Linked DNA regions of Saccharomyces cerevisiae S288C. The protein of the gene in region 1 interacts with the protein of each later gene in a biochemical or structural test. Each region holds a gene or a part of one and is shown in the gene's direction. Other genes may lie near its edges.

Evidence for each region.
Region 2: the proteins of HYR1 (region 1) and TDH2 form a complex in vitro, tested with the Saccharomyces cerevisiae proteins (one study listed by BioGRID).
Region 3: the proteins of HYR1 (region 1) and YBP1 form a complex in vitro, tested with the Saccharomyces cerevisiae proteins (one study listed by BioGRID).

Annotation. Positions count from the first base shown.
Region 1 is NC_001141.2:421,280-424,129, forward strand, and holds HYR1 (peroxiredoxin HYR1), read left to right. Parts: upstream 1-1,848; coding exon 1,849-2,340; downstream 2,341-2,850. Other genes in the region: NRE1 (sepiapterin reductase family protein), read right to left, coding at 1-511; sepiapterin reductase family protein IRC24, read right to left, coding at 795-1,586; GTT1 (bifunctional glutathione transferase/peroxidase), read right to left, coding at 2,530-2,850. UniProt on the Saccharomyces cerevisiae protein: Involved in oxidative stress response and redox homeostasis. Functions as a sensor and transducer of hydroperoxide stress.
Region 2 is NC_001142.9:453,023-456,206, reverse strand, and holds TDH2 (glyceraldehyde-3-phosphate dehydrogenase (phosphorylating) TDH2), read left to right. Parts: upstream 1-1,525; coding exon 1,526-2,524; downstream 2,525-3,184. Other genes in the region: MHO1 (Mho1p), read right to left, coding at 2,761-3,184. UniProt on the Saccharomyces cerevisiae protein: Glyceraldehyde-3-phosphate dehydrogenase (GAPDH) involved in glycolysis and gluconeogenesis. Catalyzes the reaction of glyceraldehyde-3-phosphate to 1,3 bis-phosphoglycerate.
Region 3 is NC_001134.8:655,076-659,275, reverse strand, and holds YBP1 (Ybp1p), read left to right. Parts: upstream 1-1,675; coding exon 1,676-3,700; downstream 3,701-4,200. Other genes in the region: PYC2 (pyruvate carboxylase 2), read left to right, coding at 1-569; ATG12 (Atg12p), read right to left, coding at 884-1,444; HPC2 (Hpc2p), read right to left, coding at 3,959-4,200. UniProt on the Saccharomyces cerevisiae protein: Involved in oxidative stress response and redox homeostasis. Required for hydrogen peroxide-induced oxidation and nuclear localization (activation) of YAP1. Functions probably in concert with HYP1/GPX3, the actual YAP1 modifying enzyme.

The DNA of each region.
Region 1 (2,850 bases):
CTTGCCTTTCCTCGTTGGCCAGAGTCATGGCGAAGTGGTTCAGAGCGGCTTTTGAAGAACCGTAAGCTCCCCAACTGCTGAAGTACATGTTACAGGCGTCCGAACTGACGAATACCACGTTACCGTTGGTCTTCTTCAATTCAGGTAACGCAATGCCAACCAAGGAAACAATGCTGAAGAAGTTGATGTCATACAGCTTCTTCCAAGCGTTGACATCAATCTCGTTGACATTTTGCACGGGCTCTAGGACACCAGCGTTGGCAACCAAGGAGTCGATCTTGCCGTGGCCCTTAACAGCAGCGTTAACCAACTGCTTCAACACGGAATCCTCGGTAATATCACCGACAACGTAAAAAAACCTGTCGCCATACTTCTCTTTCAACTTCTTCAAGGGTGCCTCAGACCTGGCTACACCGTAAACAACCGTGTCCTTGTCCAAACTGAAAAGAACATCCACGATGGACTTACCGATACCTCTGGAAACACCTGTAACTAAAATAACTTTACCCATGTTTTTTTAACCTGTTACACGCTGTAGTTAGACCCTTTTTTTTAGGTACAATATTCTTCCATTGCACTTGATCTTTTTCGTTTACGTATATATATGCAAAAGTTAATGTTCATACTGTCTTCTCTTCATTTCTTTGAAAACACCGCGGAATTCCTTCGGTGATACATTCAATCCGGTTCTTGGCACAGAAATGGCCGCACAAAACTGTCGCTCATCGCAAACCCAATAAAAGTTTAGTAGCTAAAAACTATAACTATACCCTTTTACATAATATAGTTTAGTACTAGCCCTGCACCGGCCCCAGTCGCTCATCGTTGTAGCGGAGATATTGACCGTTCAAAGAGTCGGGAATACCTTTCAGGACGAGTTGCGCTAGTACCGCCGCAGGCACCTTTGGGTCCAGCAGTGACGAAGTCTTGTACAATTGAGTAAACCTCTCGAGAGCCTTGGGTGTCATGCCCTGAGGACCCAATGTTTCCCTAATATCTTTCTGCATCTGCGTGTCAACGACGCCCGGTGCAATACACACGGCACGCACTTTATCACTGGGCTCTTCACTGGCAATGTCCATGGCAAAGTGGTTTAATGCGGCTTTCGAGCAGCCGTACGCCGACCATCCGTTATATGGTTTCACACTGGCTCCAGAGCTGACGAAGACAATGTTGCCTACAAATGGCGAGCTCTTCAAGAGGGGTAAACACAGTGCCACCAAAGAGACAATGCTGAAAAAGTTCACATCGAACAGCCGTTCCCACTGCTTGATGTCGTGTTCGGAGTTGGACTGGGAGATGGACTTCACCGGTTCTAGCATCCCCGCATTTGCGACAATACCGTCCAGTTTTCCATGCTTTTGCCGGATTTCCTCCACCAACGCTTCCATTCGAGACCTGTCCGTGATGTCGAGGACACGATAGACAAATTTGTCTGCACCGTATTCTCTTTGCAAAGACTGCAGACCAGCTTCCGTTCTTGCTACGCCGTAGACGATGCATTCATCGTCCTCTTCGATAACAGTTTTCACCAATTGCAGGCCAATCCCACGGGAGGCACCTGTAATCAAAATAACCTTGCCCATATCCCTTCTTTGACAGATTATAAGTTGTTTCTCTTGTTGCTGTTCGCGACAGCCCTTATTTCCTGTATTCCTTCTTCTTTTTCTGCATTATCGTTTTTAGCCACTTTACGAAAAAGGTCAAAAAGTGAAAAAAAGAGGGAAAAAACCATGAGGAACAGTATGCTCCCTTAATATCGGAAAAGCAATAGTAATAAAAACAGCATCAGAGCTTTCCACGTCTCTCTCTTCCAAGCTGTCATCTCGTAAAGTATTCAAGTTTATCATGTCAGAATTCTATAAGCTAGCACCTGTTGACAAGAAAGGCCAACCATTCCCCTTCGACCAATTAAAGGGAAAAGTGGTGCTTATCGTTAATGTTGCCTCCAAATGTGGATTCACTCCTCAATACAAAGAACTAGAGGCCTTGTACAAACGTTATAAGGACGAAGGATTTACCATCATCGGGTTCCCATGCAACCAGTTTGGCCACCAAGAACCTGGCTCTGATGAAGAAATTGCCCAGTTCTGCCAACTGAACTATGGCGTGACTTTCCCCATTATGAAAAAAATTGACGTTAATGGTGGCAATGAGGACCCTGTTTACAAGTTTTTGAAGAGCCAAAAATCCGGTATGTTGGGCTTGAGAGGTATCAAATGGAATTTTGAAAAATTCTTAGTCGATAAAAAGGGTAAAGTGTACGAAAGATACTCTTCACTAACCAAACCTTCTTCGTTGTCCGAAACCATCGAAGAACTTTTGAAAGAGGTGGAATAGGCAGGTCTTCTTCTTTTGAAGTTAGGTAAAGCTTAGTTTTCTTTTATATTTCCTGATAATACATACTCGCTAGTCAAACCTGTCAATTATTATGTGTCGCAACAGACTATATACGTATACATACATATGTATTGAAGTGTGTGAACGAATTACGCGGCTGCTAGTGCCGTACGAACGCAACAAAACGGTTTAGAAATTGCTACCTAAAGCACGCGCCTTTTCCTTAGAAGCAGCATACGACTCCTCTGAGGTTATGGTCTTTAACCATTTGGAAATGGCAGGATAATCCTCTGGTGCGGCAAACTTTCTTTCAAACGCCATCTGCAAAGGGAAAGACATCAAGATATCGGCACCGCTCAACTTCCCATCAACCAGGTAGCCGTTATTTTTGGAAATTTCACCCTCCACAAAGTCGAACTGGTTCTTAACTTCACCACTAGAGTATGCCTGACTGATCTTGTCTGCCACTTTTCTTGCCAAGTACGAAATAGGGAAGGGCATACCAGAATC
Region 2 (3,184 bases), on another chromosome or scaffold:
CTTTCTTAGTTCCTTTTCAATTGTTAAGAAACGATATCACAACTGTTACGACAGAGAGAGACCCAAGCTAGAGATCACAAGCTAAAAAAGAACCAAGTTTACATATATATATATATATATATATATATATATATATATATCCATATTCATATTTCTCGAGAAAGAGCCTCTATTTCTCATTGGTAAGTAACTTCATAAGAGACTAAGTTGTAAAACTGTGGCTTTGTTATACGGTGATTTCCTTTGGAGGTTGCTAAGGTTTATGGTGTTGAGTGCAGTGTGCACGACAGGGACCGCTAGAATGCGGTGAGTTACAAAATTACACGTGACTTTTCTGGTCACGTGACCTTTTTTTCTGTCAGCAATCCGTAGGATGCGCGTTGGCGCTACAAGTGTGTCATATCTGTACTATATTTGTACACTTATATGTAGTTGTGACAAAAGTCTCTGTTAGTACTAAATTAAACGATGTTATATCTGTGGACCCCCTCACCTTATACCACTACGTACATATCGTTGGAAAATCTAGATCAGAGGGTGGTAAATGAAGTGTAATAGTATTCATTTTTCTTATAAATCATCCCTTCCGTGATTTATACAAAAGAAGAGGAGAATATGCTGAATACTTGGTATATTACTCTACATTATACTCTTATCTTGACGGGTATTCTGAGCATCTTACTCAGTTTCAAGATCTTTTAATGTCCAAAAACATTTGAGCCGATCTAAATACTTCTGTGTTTTCATTAATTTATAAATTGTACTCTTTTAAGACATGGAAAGTACCAACATCGGTTGAAACAGTTTTTCATTTACTTATGGTTTATTGGTTTTTCCAGTGAATGATTATTTGTCGTTACCCTTTCGTAAAAGTTCAAACACGTTTTTAAGTATTGTTTAGTTGCTCTTTCGACATATATGATTATCCCTGCGCGGCTAAAGTTAAGGATGCAAAAAACATAAGACAACTGAAGTTAATTTACGTCAATTAAGTTTTCCAGGGTAATGATGTTTTGGGCTTCCACTAATTCAATAAGTATGTCATGAAATACGTTGTGAAGAGCATCCAGAAATAATGAAAAGAAACAACGAAACTGGGTCGGCCTGTTGTTTCTTTTCTTTACCACGTGATCTGCGGCATTTACAGGAAGTCGCGCGTTTTGCGCAGTTGTTGCAACGCAGCTACGGCTAACAAAGCCTAGTGGAACTCGACTGATGTGTTAGGGCCTAAAACTGGTGGTGACAGCTGAAGTGAACTATTCAATCCAATCATGTCATGGCTGTCACAAAGACCTTGCGGACCGCACGTACGAACACATACGTATGCTAATATGTGTTTTGATAGTACCCAGTGATCGCAGACCTGCAATTTTTTTGTAGGTTTGGAAGAATATATAAAGGTTGCACTCATTCAAGATAGTTTTTTTCTTGTGTGTCTATTCATTTTATTATTGTTTGTTTAAATGTTAAAAAAACCAAGAACTTAGTTTCAAATTAAATTCATCACACAAACAAACAAAACAAAATGGTTAGAGTTGCTATTAACGGTTTCGGTAGAATCGGTAGATTGGTTATGAGAATTGCTTTGCAAAGAAAGAACGTCGAAGTTGTTGCTTTGAACGATCCTTTCATCTCTAACGACTACTCCGCTTACATGTTCAAGTACGACTCTACTCACGGTAGATACGCTGGTGAAGTTTCCCACGATGACAAGCACATCATCGTTGATGGTCACAAGATCGCCACTTTCCAAGAAAGAGACCCAGCTAACTTGCCATGGGCTTCTCTAAACATTGACATCGCCATTGACTCCACTGGTGTTTTCAAGGAATTGGACACTGCTCAAAAGCACATTGACGCTGGTGCCAAGAAGGTTGTCATCACTGCTCCATCTTCCACCGCCCCAATGTTCGTCATGGGTGTTAACGAAGAAAAATACACTTCTGACTTGAAGATTGTTTCCAACGCTTCTTGTACCACCAACTGTTTGGCTCCATTGGCCAAGGTTATCAACGATGCTTTCGGTATTGAAGAAGGTTTGATGACCACTGTTCACTCCATGACCGCCACCCAAAAGACTGTTGACGGTCCATCCCACAAGGACTGGAGAGGTGGTAGAACCGCTTCCGGTAACATCATCCCATCCTCTACCGGTGCTGCTAAGGCTGTCGGTAAGGTCTTGCCAGAATTGCAAGGTAAGTTGACCGGTATGGCTTTCAGAGTCCCAACCGTCGATGTTTCCGTTGTTGACTTGACTGTCAAGTTGAACAAGGAAACCACCTACGATGAAATCAAGAAGGTTGTCAAGGCTGCCGCTGAAGGTAAGTTGAAGGGTGTCTTGGGTTACACTGAAGACGCTGTTGTCTCCTCTGACTTCTTGGGTGACTCTAACTCTTCCATCTTCGATGCTGCCGCTGGTATCCAATTGTCTCCAAAGTTCGTCAAGTTGGTTTCCTGGTACGACAACGAATACGGTTACTCTACCAGAGTTGTCGACTTGGTTGAACACGTTGCCAAGGCTTAAATTTAACTCCTTAAGTTACTTTAATGATTTAGTTTTTATTATTAATAATTCATGCTCATGACATCTCATATACACGTTTATAAAACTTAAATAGATTGAAAATGTATTAAAGATTCCTCAGGGATTCGATTTTTTTGGAAGTTTTTGTTTTTTTTTCCTTGAGATGCTGTAGTATTTGGGAACAATTATACAATCGAAAGATATATGCTTACATTCGACCGTTTTAGCCGTGATCATTATCCTATAGTAACATAACCTGAAGCATAACTGACACTACTATCATCAATACTTGTCACATGAGAACTCTGTGAATAATTAGGCCACTGAAATTTGATGCCTGAAGGACCGGCATCACGGATTTTCGATAAAGCACTTAGTATCACACTAATTGGCTTTTCGCCGCATATGGTGTTTCCGGTGATTTCCAAGTATTGTTTCCAAGCATCGTACCTTTCACCATTTGGAGTATCACTTAGCGTTTTCATCGCATATCTGTCCATTATTTCAATGGATTGCCAAATGGGAACTTGATGATGTGAAAGTTTACTCCTAGCAGTTAACATTTCCACTTCTGTTTCCTCTTGAATGGCATCATTCAACTCTTCCTTGCTTCCGACGTACCCAGTATATTGGAATCTGCGGCCCCAATGACAGAAATCA
Region 3 (4,200 bases), on another chromosome or scaffold:
ATATTGATGAATGCGATGTTGCTTCTTACAATATGTATCCAAGGGTCTATGAAGATTTCCAAAAGATCAGAGAAACATACGGTGATTTATCAGTTCTACCAACCAAAAATTTCCTAGCACCAGCAGAACCTGATGAAGAAATCGAAGTCACCATCGAACAAGGTAAGACTTTGATTATCAAATTGCAAGCTGTTGGTGACTTAAATAAGAAAACTGGGCAAAGAGAAGTGTATTTTGAATTGAACGGTGAATTAAGAAAGATCAGAGTTGCAGACAAGTCACAAAACATACAATCTGTTGCTAAACCAAAGGCTGATGTCCACGATACTCACCAAATCGGTGCACCAATGGCTGGTGTTATCATAGAAGTTAAAGTACATAAAGGGTCTTTGGTGAAAAAGGGCGAATCGATTGCTGTTTTGAGTGCCATGAAAATGGAAATGGTTGTCTCTTCACCAGCAGATGGTCAAGTTAAAGACGTTTTCATTAAGGATGGTGAAAGTGTTGACGCATCAGATTTGTTGGTTGTCCTAGAAGAAGAAACCCTACCCCCATCCCAAAAAAAGTAATTTTTACTCGTTAATTATATTTTATGACATCTGAAAATACTAGCTGTACTATATATGGCGTATATTTTATCTAGTTATGTTCCCATGTATATTTAAATGCCAAATAGAAAGTAATCAAACACTTTCGATGAAATACGTGCTAACTGTGTTTCTTCCTTAATGCTTTCACTTACCATGTCTCCATTCTCCATTTTCTTCTTGAGTGAAAATGTGAGTTTATAACGCTCAAGTACGTTAACTACTCTATTTAATATCGTACGGGATTTTTGATCGACTGTAGGTTTTCTTCTTAGACCATTCCAGCGCCCGGGTATTTAACCAAACGCTACGGATGCACAATAACTTACAATAAGCTCATCATTAGTCTTGAATTGCATCCAAAGTTCACCAATATTTTGCTGCGGACTTGGCGCAAACGAATTATTTATATAACAATAAACATGGTCCATTTTCAGCCGTCTCTTAAGAAATAAAATAACCATTGCAAAAGACTGTGACATTGATATTTTACAAACAGATGGTTTTAACTGCCCAATAGAACCAATGGGCTGAAATTTTATCTGTATCTTTTGTATGTTTTTTTCGTCTTTATGGCTTTTTTGTTTGCTTGTTTGTGCATTCGTTTTGATTGTCTCTTCCTGTTCATAAGTGCCACTAGAGGAATCTTCAACTTGCTGGTCGACAGAAATGTCACTCGCCAAACCAAGCTGAGACAATCTCCTGCTAAAAAGTTCCAATCTATTTTGAACGGTATGAGGAGATGATCTTAATTCTTGATTATTTCTGGATCTTTCCATTGCCGTTCCATTATTTGTGGATATGATGGAGCTTTCGTCACTTTCTGTTTCATTTTCGCTCTCTAGGATCCTACTCATACTGTCATTGGTTCACTCTACTGTAGAATATACAGTTAGGGATGTACGTTTATTTCTTCAGCTCAAGTAGCTTTCTGTCAAACACTAAGCGGGCATCCTTCATAAGTACGATTCTTTAAATTTGACAATGTAAAGGAAAAAAATAAAGACTAATTGCCGGTGAACATTATTAACAAATAAACACTGAAAAAGAAAATCACCCTAGACATTCAATACGATACTCAGACACTAATGGAACCAATTGATGACATACTTTTTGAGGTTACTGATGCGTTCAAAACTCAGAAGGAGGATCTTCTTGAGTTGGTAACATTGATTGATATATATGGCGAGCAAGTTAACCAAGAGGGGAGCTATGAAGAAAAGACGAGATTCATTGAAACTTTGAATACATTGTTAGAGGATAATCCGAGTACTACTGGTGAAATCGGTTGGGATCTGCCTAAGGGATTATTGAAGTTCTTGTCAAAGGATAATGTCGATGTAAATGGAAGACTAGGTACGAATATGATTGTCCAAGGTGTAATGAAGTGTTTCTATGCCATCTCAATCCAAGGCGAGCCCAAAAAATGTTTAATTACTGGGTTGGAGTTGCTTTCATCCCTTTGTTCAAAAGATTTTTCCAAGAGTGATCAACAGAATAAGGAAGACTTTGTTGATAAAAAGGCCAATACGTTACCTCCTGAAGGAGTAATCGAAAATTCCTCTAATCGAAAAGATTTTCCATCCTACGGTGAAAGCAAGAGTTCAAATGAATTTTTCTTGAAGTTGAAATCCTACATTTTATTTGAATTCATAGGGGCGAGTCTGAAAAGGATTTCTACTCTGTTTCCTTCGAAATATCTGGGAGCTGCTGTGTCAACAATTGAGAAATTTGTGTATAGTCATGCGGACACTTTTGAAGATGCCCTTTTCCTTCTTCGTAGGGTGTACACATTCTGCAGGAACTATATTCCCCCTGATCCACCAAAAGATATACAATTGAACGAAGATTTTACTCGAGAGATGTTTGATAAAGTTGTGGAGGAAGAAAGTGAATTACAGGTTAGACTATTGCGTAGGCTTTGTACTTTTGGTATTTCGACACCCATAAAAACTGTCACCACCAATGCCGACGTGAAATACTATTGTGCACTAAATCAACAGAAGTTTGAATTATCTGCATATTACACCGAATATCTTGAGCTATTTTGCAGGTATTACCAAATGGCGTTCTCGCTTGATGTTGATATAGAGGGAGAATTTCAGAATGTGATAAAAGAATGTAGGATTATTTATAAGTCTGTACCCCAGGAGATTTCCGCTGTTAATGATGAAGCAAAGTTGGTTTTGGAAAGAATGGTATATAAATTGGCTTATACATTCGAAGTACAAAAGGCCGCTAAAGAAAAAAATGTTGGTTTGGACTATAATGGTGTAATATTATTTTCTGGTATCCACTATTTGGAAACCAATCAACATTTAGTAAAGGAAATGAATATAACGGATGCCATTTATCTCTACTTGAGATTTACAACTCCATCATTATATTCTAAAGTTTACTATAATGTAGCAGTTGAATCAGTTAGTCGCTACTGGCTATGGTATGCTATTACAACCGAGCCCTTGGAGGATGTAAAAAAAGAATTGAAGAATCTTTCAGTGTTTGTTACAAAAACATTATTGCATGTTCTACTTCAAAAGAACTGTATTCAGGTCAATCAGCAGTTAAGAATGATAACTTTCACTCTTCTCACCAGATTACTATGTTTAATACCTGAAAAAGTTGCATTTGAGTTTATCTTAGATGTGCTTAAGACATCTCCCCTTCCATTGGCTAAGACGTCCGTATTATGTGTTTTTAAAGACCTTTCAAGGCGACGCATCTCCACCAAGGATAACGATTCTGAGACGGATTTGATTGTCGAAAAATTATCCAAACTGAAGGTCAATGATAGTAACAAAGCTCAGCAAAGTAACATCAGACATTATATCCAACTAGATTCTTCCAAAATGAAAGCTGTTCATGACTGTTGTCTGCAGACTATCCAAGATTCATTTACGGCAGATGCCAAGAAGAGTGATATATTATTACTGCTAACTTACTTGAATATTTTCATTGTGCTAAAAAAAACATGGGATGAAGATCTACTGAAGATTGTTTGTTCGAAGATTGATTCTAATTTGAAGTCAGTCGAACCTGATAAACTTCCGAAGTATAAGGAAATTGTGGATAAAAACGAATCTCTAAATGACTATTTTACTGGTATAAAATGAAGTTCTTATCTATTTCATTTCCACCAAGATATTGAACATGCCATACTCGTTTCTGGTTTTATAGCCAAGTTTATAGATTCTCTAAGGTGAAATTATCTATTTTTTCTTTCACCATATTATCGGACATAGATACATGGATAGAAAAGCATTCGCTCGGAAAAATCTTCATATAAACTGACTATATACTTTCAGATATAGGCACACTTTATTTCATTTTTTATGTCGTTCAGGGATTTTGGAAAATCTCTGACACAATGCTTATTTATTTTTAACACCACCTCTTTTCATGGTACCATTTGCACGCTCCAAACTTGCATAGTGACCTTTTTCGATTAATGGACCAAAGTAAACAAAAAAACCGTCCTTGGTGGCAGCACGCTGTTCCTCCCACAATAACTCCGAATCATCAATGAACGGATCTTCAACGTCATATTTACCAATCAAATTTTTACCTTTCATAGGATGCGACTTCTTCTTCGGAGAGATGGTGGTAGTTACAG